Drosophila melanogaster: one gene and its partner. The protein of the gene in region 2 interacts with the protein of the main gene of each other region in a pairwise test. Each region holds a gene or a part of one and is shown on either strand. Other genes may lie near its edges. The genes, in order: Apc and Kap3.

Region 1 (5,147 bases), on a different chromosome or scaffold from region 2:
GTGCATTGCCTGCTCTATCGCTCTGTAACTTAATCATCGGCCAACATTCAGGTGGCGGCAGCCACAATAGCAAATGAGCAGCTAAGTCATTATCATGATTAGCTGGCGCTGCATCTTTTTAGAAAGTTAGCGGCACACGGCGTCGTCTTTGCGGAATTTCCAGTGCATGAAGAAAGATACAGATGCGTTTTCAGCAGATATATTATATTGCCTCGGCTCTCATTGTTGTTGCTACACACACTCCATAAGCACAAGACATATTTCTCATTTGAGCTACCGTTGAATTATGTGCAAATGCAATTTGGTGCTGCACTTCTTTTTTTTCAGCTGTTATTGTAGCGTAAAATTGAGCGTGGACGGACAGAAGTGCATAAATATGTATGTACACAGAGAGAAAATAACGTAACTAACGTAAGGTCACTATTAAGTTATTTACACAACTTTAATCAAGGGTCAAATAAATCCTTGGGGTTCTTAAATCAATCTACAAAGTGTCTTAAAGTATGGCACAATTTATTTACTGCATAATTTTAGATATCGAATGAAAAGGAATATAACAAATGATTTGATACCTTGTATTTTCAAGCATTTTTTCACTGTGTACCCAATCCAATTCAAGACTTCAAGTGGATTGAGTTTGGGATTGGGAATGACCCGGGTCGTGTACCAGTTCTGGCTCCGCACAAGTCGACTTGTTCAAGCTCCAATTGGCAAATTAATCAAATTTTAATTGCGACCAGCGTAAAGAGCGAAAACAGCCGGCGAACGAAAAGTGGTAACCGCAATTTGAGTGGCTGTGAAATGCAAATCGCTTGTGTAACAGCGGAAATGCATCCATCCATCCAAGCCACTCGATTGGAATGCCGCACTGGACACAGTGGCCATCGTTCATCATTGCCGATCGATTGTTTGCCTAGGCCTCAAATATATAAAATATGTGATCAGCCGGCACTATCACCGCCTTGATAAGGCACACAGTTCGGCTCCACCGATTAACATTTAGCAAGAGTCACGATATCAGTGCTCTCGAGGCCAAGAATTCGAAAGACGAACAGAGCAGAGTAGAGCGATTCGATGAATCAACGATCCGCGAATTAGACAAACACAAGTATCTAGATACGACATAGATACTTTTAGTACCCCAAAGAATGCGAGAATATGCGTCACTTGTCTAGCCAAGAGCCGTGTACCCGGTCCCCCAGAGACGACTCCTCGTGTCATTAACCGGCCAGCGAGTCGCACAAGGGAATCAGCCCTGCACAATGGACACAATTCGACTCCAAGCGTTTCGAGTCAACTGTATTGGGAAACTAAATTGGTTCGCATAGTTAGCGAAAACAGAAACAACCCCACGCTTTGAAATAAAATACAAGTGCCATAGTTTAGCGGATAGAAAGTGAATCAGACTGACAAACTTTTAGTCACCCAGTTTCTATTTCTTTCAGAGATAACGAGATTTCAAAAACAAATGTGACTTATTGCTTGAATAACACTTGCTTAGTAAGACTTACTAAGCACTTACTTAAACTGATAGGTGTAAAAGAATAAATAAAAGTGTTTATTTGATAATTGTATATCCAAATATTTGCATAATTAAATGAATTATGAGAATGAACAATTCCATTTTTGGTAATATGCATATAAATTAAGCATTTGTGTAGCATGGGTGGATCAGATTTGGATTTTGAAAGATAAAGCTTCATCACCTTATAGAGGGTAAGGTCTTAAAAGTTATTTTAAACCGACATATGAATACCTAATTTGGAAAGTGTAATTTGTTGTGATAAAATGAATACTAGGTTGAAATATTTGAAAGAGGGAAATATTTTTTTTGGCAGATTGATGATCTGAAGGGTGGTTTTCGTCACACCCTCCCCTAAAAATGGTACAATTACAATTACAATTAGAAGGGAATAGCAAAAATAAAAAATATTTCTCCAATAAGTGAATTCCCATTAAGCTAATAACCAATTTTGCCACCACATCGCCCCATCCCACCCACTGTGCGGTTTTTTGGCTTGGCACACATTTTGCATACGAAATATTCGCGGCAGAATTATCAAAGAAAAAAGAATGGAAGATTTGCGGGGGAAGGAAAAGCGGTAAAGATGATGACACCGCGAGCCATCAAACCACAGGGAAATGTACGCAAAAACATTAAATAATGAAACTACATACTAACTACTGTACATATGTACATATGTATGTACTTATGATTTCTGTGTGTGCATTTATGAGCTGGTTTAATGAACGCCACTTTTGTTTTGCTGCCCGGTTGTTTTGTGTCTTTGCCGCCGCGAGATGATGATTATGTAAATTGTAGAAAAGTAAAAGGGAAACTAAATACGAGCGCATGCAGTGTGGAATTGTGTTTTCCTTTTCTCCCATGTTTGTGGGCATGTAAGACAATCGAGCGTGCCGATATTAACGTATTTTCCTTAATGCGGTGATTAATTATGCTGAGGTGAAGTTGAATGGAAGTGCTCGAAAATAGTTATCAATTAGGCGTGCCACAATCACTTGCAGCTGTTGGAAAACTAAAACGAAAACAACAACAACGAAACAAACGAAACACACTGCGTTTTCCAACTGATAAAGGAGCACTCACACACATAGACACACACATGCACGCACTTTGCACACCCACACTAGGGCGCAGTCGCGTTCTGATTGGGACCTTTATTGATTTTTCCTGTAAAAGGAATCGGCAGGAGAACAGGAAACTACTAAAGAGTATCTCATGCTCCAAGTTGAGCTAAACACATTTGTATTCGCCAGCTGTATATGGTGCGCATTTATTGAGTAAACATTCTGCGTTTTATTGTCAGGCCCAAAAAGAACAATTCCAATTGGAAGAGTCAGCGACTATACTCCCACACACACACGAACCCAGAGATTCTCCGATTGGCGTACCTTGACTAAAAACACAATTTCTCGGCAGCTTCCTCGCCCACCAGATGACACATTTCCCGCTTTATCACTTGTTTGCCCACAGATATTGCCACTATTTGGATTCTTGGCTTGTTTCGCGACAAAACAAATACGCAGCGCGGCCGAAATTCCGAGTCCGCTTATCAACAAAAATTGCGACCAACCGCGGCGAGCAGTGTGACTGTTATATCGAGAATTCGAAAAACCAACAAGAAATAGCTGCTAGGGATGGGAGAATGTAGCGATATCTTGGGATCATATATATCGCTTGAATATTTACTTCGTTCGTAATATATTTATACTGCAATTTATTTTCTAACCTTAAAGATTTAGTGCTTATATTTTATTCATTATATATCTCGGTTAAGTAATACGTACACCGTTAATTTAAAAGAAAAAATTTAAAAAAAAATGGGATAGAGTTAATGGGGCCGAGTCAGACCAACGCTATGGACTGCATATTAAAACGGATTTGGTATTGTTTTGTTTGTTAAATTATTGAATACATTGAATGAATGTGCCTCCAAAACTGTAACTGCGAATTGGTTCGGGTCTTAGCTAGACCATAAATACCGGTGTGACCGTCACCGCTAAAATGAAAATTCCCTCAAAAATGCAATAGTAAATAATCCATCGCTTAGCAACTGGCCACACTGCAACGTATATAAGCCGACGAATCCCGAATTTTGTTGTTGTTCTTCAAACAGCTGAGCGGCGGACGGATATTTGTTGTTGCTGCGCCCGGGAAGCTGCGCAGCGGAGAACGCGAAAAATAATAAAACGCAAAAAATAGCGAAAATTAAACGCGTTGCAAGTGCAGCAGAAAACAACGGTAATAATTCGCGAAGCCAAGGGACAAGCAATTTAAATTGCGCACAGTGTAGAAATCCAATTGGAAGTTCGGCTGGGAGTCCCAAATTCGTATTGATTTTCTTGTTTGTGTGTGCGCGGGTCCGTGAAAAAGGCAACAAAAGCAAAGCCACCACTTCCAGACTTCCCAATCAGCCACTTCCTTTTCTTCCACCTAGCGGTAATCATTGCCAATTGGAACCGCGATCGTTGCCTTCCAGCGACAACAACAATGTAGCAAGTGTATTTTCTGCTTGTAGTTGTAGTTATTAAACAAGATAAAGTGCGAGAAAGAGAAGGAGATAGACAACAACAAAAGCGAAAGTTTTATTGAGTGCGTAGATGTGTACGAGTGTGTATGTGTGCTATTGCGAAAAATTGTTGATAAATATTGGCCGTTATAAATGCGAATTCAAATGCAGATATTTGCCGATGAAAAGGGTGTTTCCTCAAAAAACCGTTGATTAATTATAAATGCAAGGAGTGGCCGGCTAAGTTGGATTTTTTCGGCTTAACTTGCAGCGAAGCAGCAGCGACAAAATGTGGATACCTTCGAACAACAAATACGGAGTTGGTGAGTAAATAATAAGAGTAGGCGGTGTGCCACCCACTTTTCCAAGCTACCCACCACCCCCCGCTGGGCGTCACGTGCGCGGCCTTTGTTTTTATTGCTGCCTTTTGCGGCGATTCACGCGTTTTTCCGCGAAACGCCGGATACCATGCCAACCACCCCCGCACGTTACCGAGCGGGGAGGAAAAGCGACTTTTCTACTTATTTTTGTACACAAACTGTTTGTAGCATCATCATCCCCCAGTTCACCGCACCGCCCCCCCCCCCTTTCCATGCAGCGTGTAGTGTATCTCAAAGAGATTTCCCTGTTTGTTGTTGCTGCCGCTGCGCTGCGATTTGATGTGTTTATACACACAGTTTTCCGCGCGCTCAGTTTTCCCGCACAGCGCTCGGCTGTCGCGTTGCCAATTTCCCCCCAGCCCAGGTGTTGCCAATTTAAATGCTTTCGTAATTACGAACACCTAAAAAAATGTTTATTTCGCAGACAAAATATATATTTGTCCAAGTTCATATGGTTGATTTTGATTTGAAACGTTTCTCTGATTCTGATCTGAAAATAACTACATCTTAATTATATTTCCTAGTATGCTAATATAAAACCTACTCGGTAGATAGAATATAGAAATGGGAAAGAAAAACGCTTCAGTGCACATGGTAAAAACTATTTAAGATCTCAAGAATCGAAACTTGCTTGCTATGGACTTTATTTTTCTCGTTACACATTTTACTTGGAATATGTTGCTGGTTTCTCTTGATATATATATTATATCTATAATATTATATCTATTATCAAGCT
Region 2 (7,957 bases):
TATCTAGACTAGCGATATTTGTTAAGGGCTTAGGCGGATGTATCTGTAGATTTCTTTATCGCTTTGTTGTAGGCATTACACCAATCTCCCATCCCACTCTCTCCTCCAGTCGATATTTTCCATATTTATATATGTATATGTATGTCTGTGTCTGATATTTGTGTAAAAATTTGTTAAAACCATAGTCTAAGTGCAAAAACTGCGGCAGATGTGCGAAGCGATCCAAGTCAAATCGAAGTGGAAACGGAACACCAATCAGTGGGAGATGCCGATGCTGAAGCTGAAGTGGAGATATCTAGGTTAAGCTTAACATTGAACGCTAGAAGGCCTCGCCTTACGGATATCCACGATATATATATATATATATATATATATATATAAAGTGAACTAGAGAGCATATTCTTCTATTTATATATACACGTACCATACATACATACCTAGATATATGCATGTTTATCGGATCGGTCTAGCCACTGTCATAAGTATGTTTCGGAAACGAACTGCAACTTAATATTCCTTATTGTGTAACACAAAATTAAAAGCCAATATTATTTCAAATTGTTGCATTTTAATGGCGAGACAAACAGCTCTGCGGAATGGGAAAAGTACTCACCCCTTTTTTTTTTTTTTTTTTGAACAGCCAACAAAACCAAAGAAAACAATACGAACTAGGTGAACATTTACATTAGCTTTGTTTATATTCTTCGGCGTTTCATTATGTCGGCGTTTCATTTGTCGCCCACTGTTTAATATTACAATTTGACTTTTGTTCGTAAGATATTCGAGAAAACGAAAAGTTTAGGTTCGGTAAACTAAAACAAGTACAACTAAAAACGTTCGACGTAATACTTTAAGTGAGAGATTATTGCACAGTAATTGCGTTGCGAACAACCAAAGTGGAAGCTAAGCCATACATCGCACTTAAACAAGACCTCAATAAATTAAATATTAATAAATAACAAACAAAAAAATACCATACCAATAAGTAAGTAACCAAACTTAAACTAACCAGTGTCTGTGCGCCGTTGCTCATTTTGAATGTCTTGAGTACAAAGTTGCCGCGTCGCTAAAATCATTTAACGTCTTTGACTAACAAGCGTGAAAGGTGTCGTATATATGTATACATATATATATATATATAAATATCCAATAAATCCAAGCAGAAGGTCGTTAATAGGCAGAGTGACTAAACATGTACACGGGAGGGCGGGCAATCGGCAGAAGCATCTTAATTCAAATTCAATCGATTCGGGTTAGGACCTTTCTCCTCATTTAAGCCATCAGCAGCTCCTCGTGCAGACCATCGGCATCCAGGGATTTGTTCGACTTGAATATGTAGTTGTTGTCGCTGGAGCCCTGCGACTTGGAACTGGAGGTCATGTTGTACAAATCATCGAGATCCTGGCTGCGGCGATAGCTGTACCATGTGATTTATCACTTAATTACTCGAATCGAAGTGGAAACTTGGTCAAAACTCACGTGCTCAGTGGCCTGCTGTAGGTGGACATGGCCGGGCTGGCCGGATTGTTGTTGCTATGGTTGCTGTTGCTATTGCTGTCATTGTCGGCATTGTCGTTGTAGAGATCGCAATTGTCCAAGTACTCGGAGCGCAGATACGTGTCCAGATCATTGTCGCACTCGTCCTCCTGATCGGCGTAGTCCTGCTCATTGTCCTGGTCCTGCTGCGACTCCACCATGCACAGCCACTGCGAATTGTGGTTGCGGAACTTCTCCAGCTGCCATGTAACAACGAGAACAAGAAAACACAAACAAGTTTGTACTAAGATATGCCATATTTGGACTGGCAAGCAACTCACCTTGATGCGCTTGGCCCACTCGCTGTCGCTTATGGCAATAATGTCCAAGCAATAGTCGCACACCTTGCGGATCTCCTCGTTCTTGTCGTGCATCAGATCGATGAGATAGGCCGCCGATTCCGTCTCTTTGATCATGTACTCCCTGGTGCTTTCGTGTCGCAGGATTTGCTGAAACACAAAGATGATCTGCAGCACAATCTCGTCATCCTCCTGCTTCGCTTTAAGCAACTCGATCAGGGATATAACCACTTTGGCGCGGCAGAAGAGCAGGGCACACAACTCGTCGCAGGCACAGGTGCCCAAGTAAACAATGGTGTCCAGCACAAGGTCGTCCATTCTGGCGCACGGCAGCAGTATCTGTCTAATCCATGGAATCAGTTGGAAGTTCTGCAAGATCTGCGAGTAATCCAAATCGGTGAGGGCCAGGTTACCCAAAATGCCGAGGCACTCGACTATGAAGGCCTCGTCATCGCAGATGGTCAAAATGCGCGCCAGATCTCCCACATAGTCGATGAACTGCAGCTGCAGGGACTCGTGCTGCGACAAGTTGCGCAGCAGCTTCATCAGCAAGGCATCCTGGTACTTGAAGGCCCGATCCATTAGGCTATGCAATCTTTGGCCCTCCACCATAATCTGGGCATTACGGCGATTTAGCGAGAGATTAATGCACAAGGCAATGAGATCCAAATCGACTTTAACATTGAGGTTTAGGATTATGGCATCCGTGGCCATTTGCACGCACTCCGTTTGCGTGAACATGCCCTTCACTTTGTCATCCAAGCTCATGTGGTACAGTATTTTCACAGCAATGCCGTGATGCTTCTCATCGTTGATGAACATCACCAGCATGGGCAGATAGCCGGCGGCGATCATCTTGCGACGCAGTCCGCCGTCGAAGGAGAGATTGAAGACCAGCTTCAAGGTGACCTGCACCAGATCCGTGTGCGTGCTCTGGAACAATCGTGGCAACTTGGCCACAATGTTCAAAGCGCCCATCTCGTCCTTGTTGTCGCCCACAATCGATAGCTTCTTGAGGAACGTGCTGACGAGCATGAGTAGATCGATATTCTGCCTATCCAGCGCCTTGACCAACATCTTAACGATATGCTTGCGGCGCATCTTCTCCTCCAGCTTAACATTCTCGGCCATGTTCAGCAGCAGGTAGAAGGCCACGCGCAACAGTTGCTCCTGCTTTTTGGCAAAGATCTTAAGCTGCTTGTTCAGCCGATCGATCTCCTCCTTCTTCACTTTGGGATCATTCCTGTCCAGCGACTCGTTGCTTTGGGCCTTCTGTTCAGCGGGCACAGCCGGAGTATCGCCGCCAGGTGAACCGCCGGCGCAAAGGGACTCGTGATAGCTGCTATTCAGGATCTGACTCTTGATCAGCGACGATGACATGGAGCCGTGAAAGCTGCTCCAATTGCCCGACTTGGGACGCTGTTTTAGCTCCGGAATGCGACGACGCGGCGGCTCCATCTGAAAGTGAATTTGTTGAGTATTCGATAGATATGTTTTTCAAGAACTTATAGAAATAAAATTACCTCCTTGGGCTTCTCCTCGTTCATGATGTCCAGGAAATCGTCGGTGCTGCGGTTCAGCTTCTCCTTGCTGGCCTTTGCCGAATGTGGAGTGGATGATCCATTGGGCTGTTTGCGCACGTCCAGCTCATTTCTCATTGTCTCGTAGCGACGCAGCTCATAGTCAATCACATCCATGCACAGCGATCCAATCTGAAATAGATTAACAACGATTAAATGAGTGCTTAGAACTTAATTAAGAAACTCTATTCCCACCTTATATTGCACAATGAGCGGATGAAACTTGGTGTATGTGGAAAAGCAGAAGAATATGTAGATTATGTTGGTGGAGAGATCCAGGGATTTGCGCCAGTCCTCGCGCAGAACACGTGACAAGGCGCTGAGGCAGGCTTCTAAAATGATGAAATAGTACATTGGGTTTGGGTTCAAAACTACAGAACTGCAAACTTATCCTTACCATTCTTTTCCAGCTCTTCAAGATTATCGGGATTTCGCGCCATCTGTAGGATCATGGCCGAGCCTCGAATGCGTTCGCCCAGCTCCTCGTACAGCAGCTCCACATACTCATCGATATTGTTTATGGACACATCCGCCGTGGGCGTGGCGGCACTCAGGGCATTCGAGACACCATTGCTAGCTCCAGTGGATCCTCCGCCGCTGCCGGTGCTGCTGGTCATGGCCGCCACACTGCTGTGCGATCGAGCAGAGGAGCGGGTGTGCGAAGTGTGCAGCGCCGCCGATCGCCGGCTGTGAGTGTTGTTATCCGGTATATCTAATGGGTACTGAGTGTTAGTATGGATTTCTGCTAACAATCTAACTGCTTACCATTGCTTGCATTATCCTTGCGATTCTTCAGATAAAAGATTATCTGCTCGACGTCATTAAGCTGGGACTTGTGGATGAGATCGCACTTCTCCACCACTTCTCGTGCCAAGGCAGCCGGATCCGTTTTGGCGTTCAGCGAACGGAGTCGTATGATTTTTTGACAGTGCTGGGCGATTAAATACAATACATGCATTAGTTAACGACTGAAATAATGTACTATTAGGCTAATTGTTTTTGCTGTTATTTTGCTATTTATAAACATAGAGTAATTATTAGGATTGAGGAACTAGTTTAGGACCACTTCAGGGCAATTAACCACTTCGCATCTAAGCTGAAAACTTTTTTGGTCGCCAATATTTATGGCCAAGAGCAAAACATAAGAGACTTACTTATGTAGTACATATTTATGGTCGTGAACAATCGGCGAAAAATAAGCTTGTCGCTCGGCCAAAAAACGTGAATTGAGGTTAAAGACCCGGCCAACCAACCGCTTTTGGGTATCTTTTTTTTTTTGTTGCTGTGGTTTTACATTTTTCACTCACTACTTGGAGCGCAGGCCGTCATCGACCCCGTTGTTGTTGCGCTATCGATTGGGCCGCTCAATGTCAGCTTCTGCCCCCCGCCCCTTAACCCTTTTCGGGGCACACCGGAAGAAACAGAAGTAGCTTTTTTAAGTACTCATTCGGATGTTTTTGTAGAACAATGACTGCTAGTATTTAAACTAATAAGCAATATATGTATGTGTACACATCTAGATCAATTTTTCAACCTATTCGATTAAGGATCAACTTTGTTTCCTTTTTTTTTATGAACCTAACATAGTTAAGAACTAAGTTACAGATGTTCGCATATTGTTGTTATTATATTCTTTCCCTATCAACATCTTTGATACCAATAATGCTGGTCCTATTTTAATTTTCTAATATCTACTAGCATTTTCTCCCAGTGCAGCGATGTGTAACCGTGCGTTCTTACCTTCTTTTCCTCGATCATCGGATTGTTGGGCTCCCCGAAGACGGTGGCCTCCAGTTGGTAGTTGACAATCAGCGCCTTATCCGTGGGATGCGGTTCAATGGATCCGCCTTTCCACCTCCTTCGTTGTTTGTTTGTTTGTTGTTGTCGTTGCATTTGTTTTGGATTGAGAGCGAGACAAATTGTTGGATCAATCATAAATTATGCGGTTCAATGCGTAATGAGGTAATAGATTTTTCAATCCAATTCTTTTTTTGAGCCTGGCTTAACTTGTGCTTTTGTTTTAATAAAACGAACAAAAAAGTTAAGAACCCAACGAATAACGAATAACGATTAACGGTTGCAAATAACAAAAAACAAAAGGAGGAAGCGTGAACGCAAAGTGGAAAATCAATAGAGAGCGCCAGGTGATTGTGGCTCTCTTTCTGACGCATGACGAGTGCTTTAGCTATTTCTTTTGTTCTTCGGCCACTTGTACACCCACACATGAAAACAAACAAACACACACACGCACGCACGCACGATCTAATCCCATACATACGCACTTTTTTATAAACTTGGCGTCATCGTTTGTTTGCATTGCAGTTGTTGTTGCTGCTGCTGTCGGAGAGCGACTAGAATTTGTCAAATTGTTTATGGAAAGCACAGGCTCCTCTTCGGTGGGTGGCGGATGCGGGGGGTGGCGGTTTTGGTGGCGCGGAGTGGGGCTCCTTTGCAGCTGCTGCTCTCTTTGCGCTCTCTTCTGCTCGCACAGATCGCCGGCAATCGCATTTATTATGTAATAGACGTAGTGAATCACAATTGGCAGCAGCACCAGGCCCGAGATTATTTGGAAAATTAATAACAAAACAAATTGCATGCGATTGCAATGCGACTTCCGATTTAATGTCGATAAGTGCTAGTGCTGGCACAACTGTCTGCTCACTGGCGGTACTATCGATGGTGCCACGGCACCCGGCAATTACCGATAGCACTCAATCGATACAAACCAATAAGCGAATGTTCAAATTCAAGTTGGCGGTTGTATTCTAATTGGGAACTTGCCATTCATAATATGCAGTATACTAACAACTTTGTTTTTCCTCGAACTTCCTTGACCGGCTAGAAACAGGTGTGATTAGCCAAGAGAGCATCACTGTTCTGTTCTGGGTGCCAAGAACCAAAGTCTGGCAACGACTGCAGCCAGAACAGCTGGGCCGGCGTTGCCAGGTGCAAAGAACGTAGATGAGCAACAGAAAAGCAAACGAAATGGAATGAAGGAACAACAATAAAAGAATCGCTACTTTGTAGTATTATTAACCAAAAAAAAGCGCGGCGCGATCACAATGTTTCTGACTGCGAACGGTGTCGGTTGTCTCTACTGCGTGTGAGCCGAGTGGAGCGCAGCGCCGCGAATTGTTTACATTGTGCTAGGAAAATCACAACAAACAAACCAGCAAACAGTCTCGACTGACAATAACAATAACAATAGCAAATAACATGCAAATAAAATGCATTTCAAGCCGCGCAAATACTAAATACTGATTCAAATGAAACGCACTATACGATGACCATTTAAAAGAATCGCCAAGCAGGAGGAAGCGAAAAGAATTCGAAAAGCGCAAAGCGAGCCGAAGAAAGTGTACAAAATCAGGCCAAACCGATTTGTTTTTTTTTTTTTTTTTTTTGTTCTGTCGTATTTTCCCTTCTTTTTTCTACCGTTTTTTTTTGTGTTTTTGTTGTGGTGGGCGGTCGCTTCTCTTTTCGCGCAAGAACAACAAATGAGGTGGAGCAGCGCCTGACAATGGAATTTCTGGAGAACCTGTACAAAACGCTGCACTCCCTGTTGTGTGAGTAATATCGAATATTTGGCGCCCGATAAGGCGCACCGCTGACCTATGTACATACATACATACATAACAAATGCCCCTCCACCAACTGCATACCTTGTGATTCTAGCCTCCTACATCGATCTGGACTATTCGCTATGGCTATATCGCTTCCTCACCCCCCTGATTGTCACCTTTCTGCTGCCGCTGGTCTTCGTGGCCCTCATCTACATTTCGTTCCTGGTGCTATTCATCTACAAGCTGCACAGGTAAGCGAAATGGAAATGTTGGAAAGCTGCGTATAAGTTGGGTGGGAAATTGGAATTACAACAATTACAGTGTGCTTCGCGGGCTCAATTGCAACTGTTAATGAACTCTCTCATGCTGATCGCGCACTTTTGGAGCCAAGTTTCCCCCACTCACCCTTACCACGCACCCCTTCCCCCTTTGGCCGGCGTCTTCCGTCCCGCTCTGCACCTGTAATTAAAAGGGAACATAAAAAGAGATGGCGTTGTAAGGAAGGGGCGTAGAGTGGGAGAGAGTTGGGCAGCCAGTGTTGCCAACAAAAAAAGCTAGATAAAACAAAGCACGGGAATACAGTGGACACTCTATAAGGCAAACAGAAAACGTAATATAGTCCAATAAACTTAGTTTTCACTGTTTTTAAGGGAACTTATGATGCAGCTGTTTCCCAAAACGCTGAAATTAACATTTTGACAAACCGTGAATATGTGTTGAATCATCGAAATTATGGGCATTAAAAAAAGTGCTCAGCAATAATTGATCGTTTTCTGCAAATTAAGTAAATTAATACGATAAGCATAATCTACATGTGTTTCTAGCTCGAAAAAGTTTTTGAAACTAAAGCAATTACTTGAGTTCTTAGATTTCAGTTGTAAAAACTGCTGTTATCGATCTAAAAAAAAGGATTGATATGTGTACCAGATAGTAATATATTTGAATTATATTCATCTAGATAGTATATATAGTTGGAATA

Evidence for each region.
Region 1: the proteins of Kap3 (region 2) and Apc interact in a two-hybrid assay, tested with the Drosophila melanogaster proteins (one study listed by BioGRID).

What each region holds. Positions count from the first base shown.
Region 1 is NT_033777.3:28,841,647-28,846,793, forward strand, and holds the start of Apc (APC-like), read right to left. Parts: upstream 3,103-5,147; 5' UTR 2,914-3,102; intron 638-2,913; exon of another isoform or gene 573-637; intron 1-572. Other genes in the region: spg (sponge), read left to right, coding at 4,321-4,354.
Region 2 is NC_004354.4:11,333,517-11,341,473, forward strand, and holds Kap3 (kinesin associated protein 3), read right to left. Parts: upstream 6,073-7,957; 5' UTR 6,012-6,072; coding exon 5,698-6,011; intron 5,309-5,697; coding exon of another isoform or gene 5,274-5,308; coding exon 5,156-5,273; intron 4,347-5,155; coding exon 4,181-4,346; intron 4,128-4,180; coding exon 3,813-4,127; intron 3,748-3,812; coding exon 3,611-3,747; intron 3,548-3,610; coding exon 3,359-3,547; intron 3,294-3,358; coding exon 1,818-3,293; intron 1,737-1,817; coding exon 1,480-1,736; intron 1,418-1,479; coding exon 1,273-1,417; 3' UTR 671-1,272; downstream 1-670. Other genes in the region: Gapvd1 (GTPase activating protein and VPS9 domains 1), read left to right, coding at 1-12; CG34348 (uncharacterized protein), read left to right, coding at 6,936-6,981, 7,091-7,229.